2 linked regions of the Oryzias latipes genome follow. The protein of the gene in region 2 interacts with the protein of the main gene of each other region in a pairwise test. Links are inferred from orthologs where the notes say so. Each region holds a gene or a part of one and is shown on either strand. Other genes may lie near its edges.

Region 1 (4,268 bases), on a different chromosome or scaffold from region 2:
AACCTGAGGAGGAGAAGATCCAGGTCAGCCGAGGAGGAGATGTCTGAAAACCTTTTAATAACAAAACGTTTAAAGTAATTTGTAAAACTTTATTTAAACTGTTCACTCCACCAAAACAGAAAAATCACGAGCAAGTTTGTTTTCCTCTGTGCTTTAACCACAGCAGTTATGCTAGTGTGCACCAAAAACATTTTAACCATGGACGGTTGGGACATTTAGAAGTTCAGGAGCCCGTTTAGATGCAACATATGTAATTGAGTCACTGAAAGCTGAGCACAGCTGCAGAGATAAAACCAAAATGGAGGTTTGGGAGATTACCGGCTTCAGAAAGCAGCTTTCCTCTGTTCTGCTGGCTCCTGCAGGAGGAGACCAGTCCTGGCTGGACAGATTAAACCAGCATGATAACAGAACACACCGGCCTTGACCGAACAGGGGGAAAGGGGGGGGTCTTTACACCTGTGACGGGACTATGACAAGACCCGGCTCAGAACAGCGCCATTCTGATGGTTCTCTGCACTGTAACGTTCCGGTCCAAGTCTCACAAAGCTGCTAATCTGAGCCAACCTCAGAGGGAGATTTTCCTCTGTAATCCAGGAAGACCGGGTTTAGGCTATGGTTTTCCAAAATAAACAATAAAAAAATAACTGCGGCTTCTTCCTTCCTTAATTGATGAAACCACGATTACAAACAAGTAAAGGTCACCTCAGCTCCGAGGGCAGTGAGGGTCTCGATGAGCACGGCGGTCTGCAGGGTCATGTGAAGGCAGCCGGCGATTCTGGCGCCCTTCAGAGGCTTGGACTGCCCGTACAGCTCCCTCATCTTCATAAGGCCGGGCATCTCATTCTCTGCGATGTCGATGGCCTTTCGCCCCCATTCAGCCAGGCTGATGTCGGCTAAAACAGCAACCGGGACATCAAAAAAGAAATCAGTACCTGTTCCACTCGTGTCTTAAACTGCATTAGAAATGTCAGACTGAAGTTCAAAACACAGGAAAAAATGATTTAGAGCCATTTTGTACACAAAAGTAAATATTTAATAGACAGATGTTACTGCCCGTCTGAACCCACAATTCTTTAATAACTTAGAAATATCAAATAAAAATGGAATCACTGAAAGGACAAATAACATTATGACACAATTTCATATGAAATTCAATGTTTCTGTGTTGCTTCAGCTTTAGTTTCAATGTTGAGGACATTTTATATGACTGTTTTTCTTTGATCCATGTAAAAATTCCCTCAGGTTGCTAGATTTTGCTGCCGCACTCATCTCTGCTAGTGGAAAGACTCTTGATCCTTGTCATTGACTTTGGAGTAAACCTGTCGTAATTCCATCCAAATGCATCGACTGAGAAGCTGAACAAGTTGCTCAATTCCCCACCAACACATCGGCTCAGTCTGGGGTAAAGTCCACACTCTGTCCCAAAGTTTCACAAAGCCTATGCATCCATTAGATTTTAACATCCTAAACTTTTCATAATACTCATTTACTATACAAGTGGTGGGTCAGTCATTTTGCAGAAGGGTCACTCCTGCGTTATGTTTGAAAAGCACGTCTTCCAGTCTTGTCCTGCCTCCACGGTCACTTTTATGACCTCAGGAAATGATAACCCATCACTGTTGCACAACGTAATAACATTTATAAGCATTAGCCATTAAACAAATACATTTAGCCTTGAAACATGTTTCTTTTTAATCAAGTTAGTGGTTCCAGTAAGGATGGTTTGACATAGAAAAGGGGGAAATGCTGTAGTAGAGTACTGAATTTAAGTTATGCAAGAAAAAAAAAGTTTACTAAAGGTTACCTGAAAACTGTCTCATCTACTATGTAAATAGTAAAAATGTGTTTTGATTTGTGTTATTTTACAATGATTTGTTTTTATTTCTGATTGTAAATTAATTGACCATATTTTTGCTCATATTTGGTTACATGGTTACATGTTAGTACTAAACCAAACTACCAGCAACATCCCCAGCCTCTCAGTATTTATTAATTTTTAATTTTTTTTAATGGGCATGTGTGAAAAATAAATAAATAAAAATGAACAAATAAAGTGGAATGTGGCAAGCTAATTTATTATAGGTTGTTTAGACCCTTTTTTGTCTTTTTACTTTTACTTACCGGTACTTCCTAAAACAAGTCACTTAAATGCATCGTAAGTTTACCTATTTTTTTTTTTTTTTTATGTTCGAGGTAATAATACAATTTAAAAGACATGTAAACTATTACTGACTTGGTGTTACAAAAAAAGACCACGTGCTGCTTTCCTGACATGCGGTAACAGCATATCTTGCCTGTTCTTGTCACTCACGTAAAACTGGCGGTGAAACGCTAGTCATCATGGGAATTTGAGTCCACAAAGACAATGAATGCTACTTTTGTAACGCCTCTAGCTTTACCCAAAACTACATCATCCAGGGTGATTATAGACAACTCTCGCTCCACAAAAATGGTCATACATGGCGCAATTTCCATGTCGATTCATTCTCATAACTGATTAAAAGTCTGCAAATAGTGTATGAATAATAAATGTAAAGACCAACAAGGTAAAAGTAGAAGCGAAACATTAGGTCAAGCTTTACCGACGACTCTTTCATTCAGCGACATAGTTATCATTCAGCGTGCTAATTATTAATAATATGGAATATGGTCTCGGGAACAACACAACCGGAGGGTAAACGTTTAAGATATTAACATGAACAGCAATAGCCTCGTTTCGCTGGGTGGAACTACTAGCATTTGCCGGTTTCCCATTTGGCACGACCATGTTGCTAACACAGCTCGCTTGTTTCTTTTTTCCCACTTAAAAAATGTGCACGTCAAAGACATAAGAATAAACATTAATAAAGGGTCACCACTGACCAACTTTGTAGGGAAGTTTCTCGGACATGGCTGTTCTTGATGTTTTGTTCCGGGGTGGTTGAAATAAGCTGCGGCCTGGCCGACGGACGAAGGCAGAGAGGGAGGAACGACAACATGACGACTCGCTTTTTATAGCGGAAGCTCCATGCAGGCGAGTTCAGACGAGTGGGCGGCACCATTCGGCTCTTTATCTGACATTTAATTGGCTGCGGCAGCTCCCGCCCCACGACAGAATTACGTTATTGGCTAACGATAAATGGAGCTAGCCAAACAGAAGTGGATTTGTGATGGCGGCAGGGAAGGGAAGGACACGGAACGTTTTATTTGGTTGGAGCAAGTTTTTTCTGGATTTTGTAGACAGGAGACCGTCCTGTTCTGTAAATCTGCGTGTATTGATTTTAACAGTTACACATTTGAAGTTTCACAATGACTCACATCTCAGTGAAGTCTTAAAAACTAAGGACTATTTACTAACAAGAGTTTATAGCAAAGCATAACATTGTGTGACACTGAAATAGACAGTAAGATTTACCAGCGGTAAAACTCTGTAATCTCTAAAAAGACTTGTTTATTAATCACCTACTTTTGAATATTTATTATTAGAGCCTCCTTTAGTATATTTTAGCCAACAACTGCAACCCAATCGGCTTGTCTAACTGATGTAAGCTATCTAATCAGTGGTTCAATGAGTAACTTGTCTGCTGTAGCTTTAAGAGCAAAGGAGAACTCAGTTTCACTATGAACTTACTGACAATCAAATAATTTTCTGGTTAAATTAATAAATATAAATACAGAAAAAGGAGTTGTGGGCTTTTTTTTTCAATGTCTTTATTTCTTTTCATATCCCCAAATCACTAATAAACACAAGATCTTGCACACGTTTTTATACAGGGGTGTGCATACACACACACACACACATATATATATATATATATATATATATATATATATATATATATATATATATATATATATATATATATATATATATATATATATATATATATATATATATATATGTGTGTGTGTGTGTGTGTGTGTGTGTGTGTGTGTGTGTGTGTGTGTGTGTGTGTGTGTGTGTGTGTGTGTGTGTGTGTGTGTGTGTGCATTTTTAGCTAGTATTTGTTATCCCCTTTATGTCCACACTGTGAGATTCTGTTTAAGCTTGTTGTGCTGGAAAAACCTGTAAACTCAACAATTTATCAGGTATCTTTGGTGGAATGATCAGTTCGGAGCAGCAACATTTCACTTGAGCGTATATTGAATTTTTCATGCTAATTTGCCTCAAGACAGCTATCCCAGTATTAATTCTAAAAAAGTAAAACAAAGTTTGAGACCAAATGCACTTTTTTTTCCCCCTGTATCCAGTATGCAAAGATTCATTTCCTACTCCAGCTCTTTTCTGG
Region 2 (4,321 bases):
GAGTTCAGGCACGTCTTCCCCCTCAACTGTGGCAACAAACAAAAAGTCCTTTTAGGTTTACAGAAATGCAGCAGTCTTGTGTGCAGTTGCAATATCAGTTTTTTCCAAGTGTAAAAAGTTTTGTGGCTGCAACGAATTATTGAGCATCTATGAAAAAACGATTTTAAATGTTTAAAAAGTTTTGGCCACTTGCAAAATTGCATTTATAACAATAATAATTTTTCCAACACTGCAGACTAAATTTAACTGAATCTCACCTTATTCTCAGTAGGTTGAGTTGTGAACATCAACCTTTGTGTTGATTTATTTTGTTAATCAAAACCTGGAATTTTTACAGTTTTGCTCCAATTAACACAAAACTACAAACTAGTTTGGTGGTTGCAGGCAGGGAAGGGGAATTTGTTACGGTGTGCGCTCCTGATGGTTTACACGGTTTCTCCGGACGGCGTAGCAGCATTTCCGCCTTCTGTGGTCCGGAAGCCTCGGACCGCAGTCCGTCTGGCTGCAGTCCGAAGCTTCATCCGGACTAGCTTCGTGTTTGGACGGAGCGCACACCATAACAAAGCCCCCTCCCCGGCCTGCAAACACCAAGCAAGTCCGGAGGAGGCTTCGGACCGCGGTCAGTCTGCGCAGTCCTGAGAAACCGTGTAAACAATCATGTGAATTTGTGGTTCCAGTGTTGTCAAGACAAAATAAAGGCTGATGTTATTCCCACAAATTTACATCCAAGAGACACATCGCGGCATCGCCCGCAAGGAGTTTAAGTTCATCACAGCTAAATGTTGTTGTTGGCACATCTTAGCCTAATGCTAACCTTTCTTCCCGGTCCTTGTAGCCAAGAATAAAGCACTGGCCGCATGAGCGAACAGGTCCTTAATAATAATCGTAACAATAGTTAAAGAACATTTAGAAATCATCTCCTGCTGTTTCCCGCTAATTTTGCCGTCTGAGGACAGCTGCAGCCTCCCTCTAGCACAGATTTTGCCATGCTGAACTTTAGCTGGTAGGACCAACAACGCAGTAGAACAGCGAGCACTGAAGCCATCGCCCCAGCGTTTTAAGTGACAGAATAAGCGATGTAGAAGAAGAAAATGAAAAAGCGGTTTGGCGGATTGCTTTTTCATTTTATAATTTTGAGTCAACAAATGCAGCTTCATTTTGAAAATGAAAACGCATTTCTAGTATTGACTTTTATTTTTAATTATGGTTTTAATAATGAAAATTGTAAGAAAAAAAACGTATGAATGAAGAAATACAACATTTTTGCAGAGCTGGTACACCGATTGGAAAGAAAGGTGCTGACTGGTTGATCTGCAAAACTCGCGTCAAAAGTATGAGGACGTAACTTGAGCGTGAAGAATTTTGTGAACCAAACACAAGATTAAGACTTTTCTGAGCACCTGGAAAATATTTTTACAAGTGGAAAAATTAGATTTCTACAGGTTTACCTTTTTTTTTTAAATATATATATGTACATAAATGTTGTGGACTTGCAAATATTTTTGCAACTAACTGAAGTTTTTCCTTCCACATGTAAATATCATTTATACATGTAGATATCATTTTACTGCTGAAAAATACTATAGAAAGACAAACCCTATAGCTCAACTTTGGAGTGTATTAACCAAAGACAAATGTATTCTATAAGATACAATTTTTTAACTGACGTCTCATCTGTCACAGAGTGGATATCATATCCTGGGGAATAAAAAAAGTAATTAGAAGAACTTTACCGCCTAACAGTCGCTTGATCTCTGGTTTGGATGTTAGTTGAGACGCCAGCTCATCTTTAGCCGTGAGGACTTCTTTGTCTGCCCCACAACTTAGTAAATAGGTCACTACATGCTTATGGTTCCTCTTGCAAGCCCAGTGCAGGCATGTCCTAAAGAAAACAATGAAAGAAAAAGCATTTAGACATGAGATGTGGCCCATAGCATAAACATATTTTCACTTGAAAGACCCACTCCAAAGAAAATCGTGTTAATTGTGTTTTTGACGTTTTTGTTGCACCACTAATGTTAGGTGTGGGCTGTAAGCTAAAGGGAGAAAGTGTAAACAAAGGGATGATGGGATATCAGCAGAGGTGATTTTTTTCTAATTTCCGCTCTGCAGAAACTATGGCCTAGAGCACAACAGGTTTTTGGATTTTGCCTATAAATCATAATTAAAAGACCACTCTGAACTTTTTTACAAAAGATTGAAATATAACTGGAGTGGGACTTAAGGAACACTGATTATAAAGACAACAATTCTGGAAGTTAGAGTCCTGGACAATCAGACAGAAGCTGATAGTGAAAACACAATTTGATAAGCAAAGGAAAAAGTCGCAATGTTGGCGGTTTAACAAGCTCTGCTTTGTGTAATAGGATAACAGTGAGCATTTTTAATCCTCGTTACATCAAGGACACGTGATAATTGCTGATCGTAAAACAACACTGGGGACTCATTTTTGGTCAGATTAAACATTTTCGTAATACTTACCATCCATTGATTTCGTTTTGGGAATTGACGTTTACTCCACTCTCCACTAACGAGCGCACTTCGTCCAGATCCCCGATAGCAGATGCTTCTCTCAGCCTCTCTTGTAATTCTTTATCCAACGAAGTCGTGGACATTTTGCCACAAAACACTAGCGATGTTAGATCATATGGTGCAAAACCGCCGTGCTATTTACATCAATTGTCAAAACACAATCCACGACCGATTTAACAAGTGATTGCACACAGCTCGGGCTGAACAGACTCTCCAGCTAACTGTAGCTACCCCGGCTAACCTTACCTACTGGCTAGCTTGAGGAGGTGTTAGCTTGTAGCTTCAGCTAACGTAACTTCGTCGTGGCCGCCATTTAACGGGGAAACAGCTACTTTTCTCCTTTGTATTTATGTATGCTGCTGGTTGACGCCACAGAAGCGCTGTCGTCACCCTGAACACTCGTTCAGTCCTAAAACTGTGGTGACAGTCAGAGGTCTGCCGGTGTAAAACGCCACCGTCTCACTAGGGGGGGAACGTTAAGATGTGACAACTGCGCACAAATGTTCGTTCCCATGGTAGCGGTTACTTCACGCAATAACCTTCCGTGTTTTACTTTTTAATTAATACCAAACTTAACGTCAGATTCTTTGTTTTTGCCCTCAGCGTCACGAATAAAATGATAAATTTAGTGCGAACTTCCAAGCATGGTAACAGGTGCAACACTGCTGTCAGTCTCGGCTTGTGTATGATTGTATCGTAAAAATAATTATAGTTTCTACACGTTATTTGGGAATTGTTTCTTGATAAAATATAAAATAATAATTTGACTAGTATTTAACAACAAATGTAAAATTCAATTTTAAATGATGGATGGAAATATTAGAGCCCTTGGCTGACTAAATAATGGGGTTGAAAACAAAGTAAGTATAATATTATGAATGCATATATTCACAGCTGAAAATAATACATGTATATAATTAAAATAAACATCATAGTTTACAAAATAATTACGATTAAAATAATTTCATGGAAAAAGTAAATATGAAAAAGTTAAGCTGAAGCCAAATAAAGCAAATTTAAAAAAATAAATAAAACTTAAATCATTGTTCAAGAAAATGAGAGAAACGTGCTCTAAATAAGCCTAAATAGTTAAACATAACTTTAAGAATTTTTGCAAAACAAACCGGAAACTGCTGCCGAACAGGTTAGCGTTTCTACAAAATTTTCAATTCCCTCAAAAATGTAAACCCTTTTAATAATGATATTTTTTAAATACCAGAAGCCAAAGAAAAGTATATGGTTAAAGTAAATTAAATATATTTAAAAATAAATAAAACAAAAATGCAACACCTAGCTAAAAACACATTTATTTTCCACCCGACAACTGAAAAAACCTGTTTGCACTGAATTGCTAAACGTTTGATTTGACATTACTAGTTGAAAGTATTCTAAAGTTATAGCTCCTAATTAGCACACAGTTTGCCCTTTAATGGCTCGTTTTAAATTCTTACCAAAAGAAAAACTGCAGGAGAAGCCAAACTTTTCGAGACTAGAATTTCCTGAAATACCTTGTGGGGGGCAGAAAATTAAATTATAAAAAAATTATATATTATTTTTTTTGCCTGGGGAAAAAAACACGGGGAAATCAGAAGAACTACCAGGCTAATTTCACTTCTAACATTGATTGGAAAAAAGTCTGGTCTTTACCACAAAAATACTTCTTAACAAATAAAGTCAAAGAAATCTCTTTTAAACTCCTACACAGATTTTATCCAGCAAAGCATTATTTAACTAAATTTAAGGCTGACATAAACACCAGTTGTACTTTCTGCCAGAAACAACCTGAAAC

Evidence for each region.
Region 1: the proteins of ankrd40 (region 2) and ahcy interact in binary tests that used the Homo sapiens proteins (3 or more experiments, as listed by UniProt). The two-hybrid records come from large-scale screens. The link is inferred for Oryzias latipes from reciprocal best matches to the Homo sapiens genes ANKRD40 and AHCY.

The regions. Positions count from the first base shown.
Region 1 is NC_019863.2:24,733,992-24,738,259, reverse strand, and holds the start of ahcy (adenosylhomocysteinase), read right to left. Parts: upstream 2,995-4,268; 5' UTR 2,891-2,994; coding exon 2,863-2,890; intron 894-2,862; coding exon 703-893; intron 4-702; coding exon 1-3. UniProt on the Homo sapiens protein: Catalyzes the hydrolysis of S-adenosyl-L-homocysteine to form adenosine and homocysteine. Binds copper ions.
Region 2 is NC_019866.2:13,503,702-13,508,022, forward strand, and holds the start of ankrd40 (ankyrin repeat domain-containing protein 40), read right to left. Parts: upstream 3,049-4,321; 5' UTR 2,616-3,048; coding exon 2,482-2,615; intron 1,883-2,481; coding exon 1,734-1,882; intron 27-1,733; coding exon 1-26.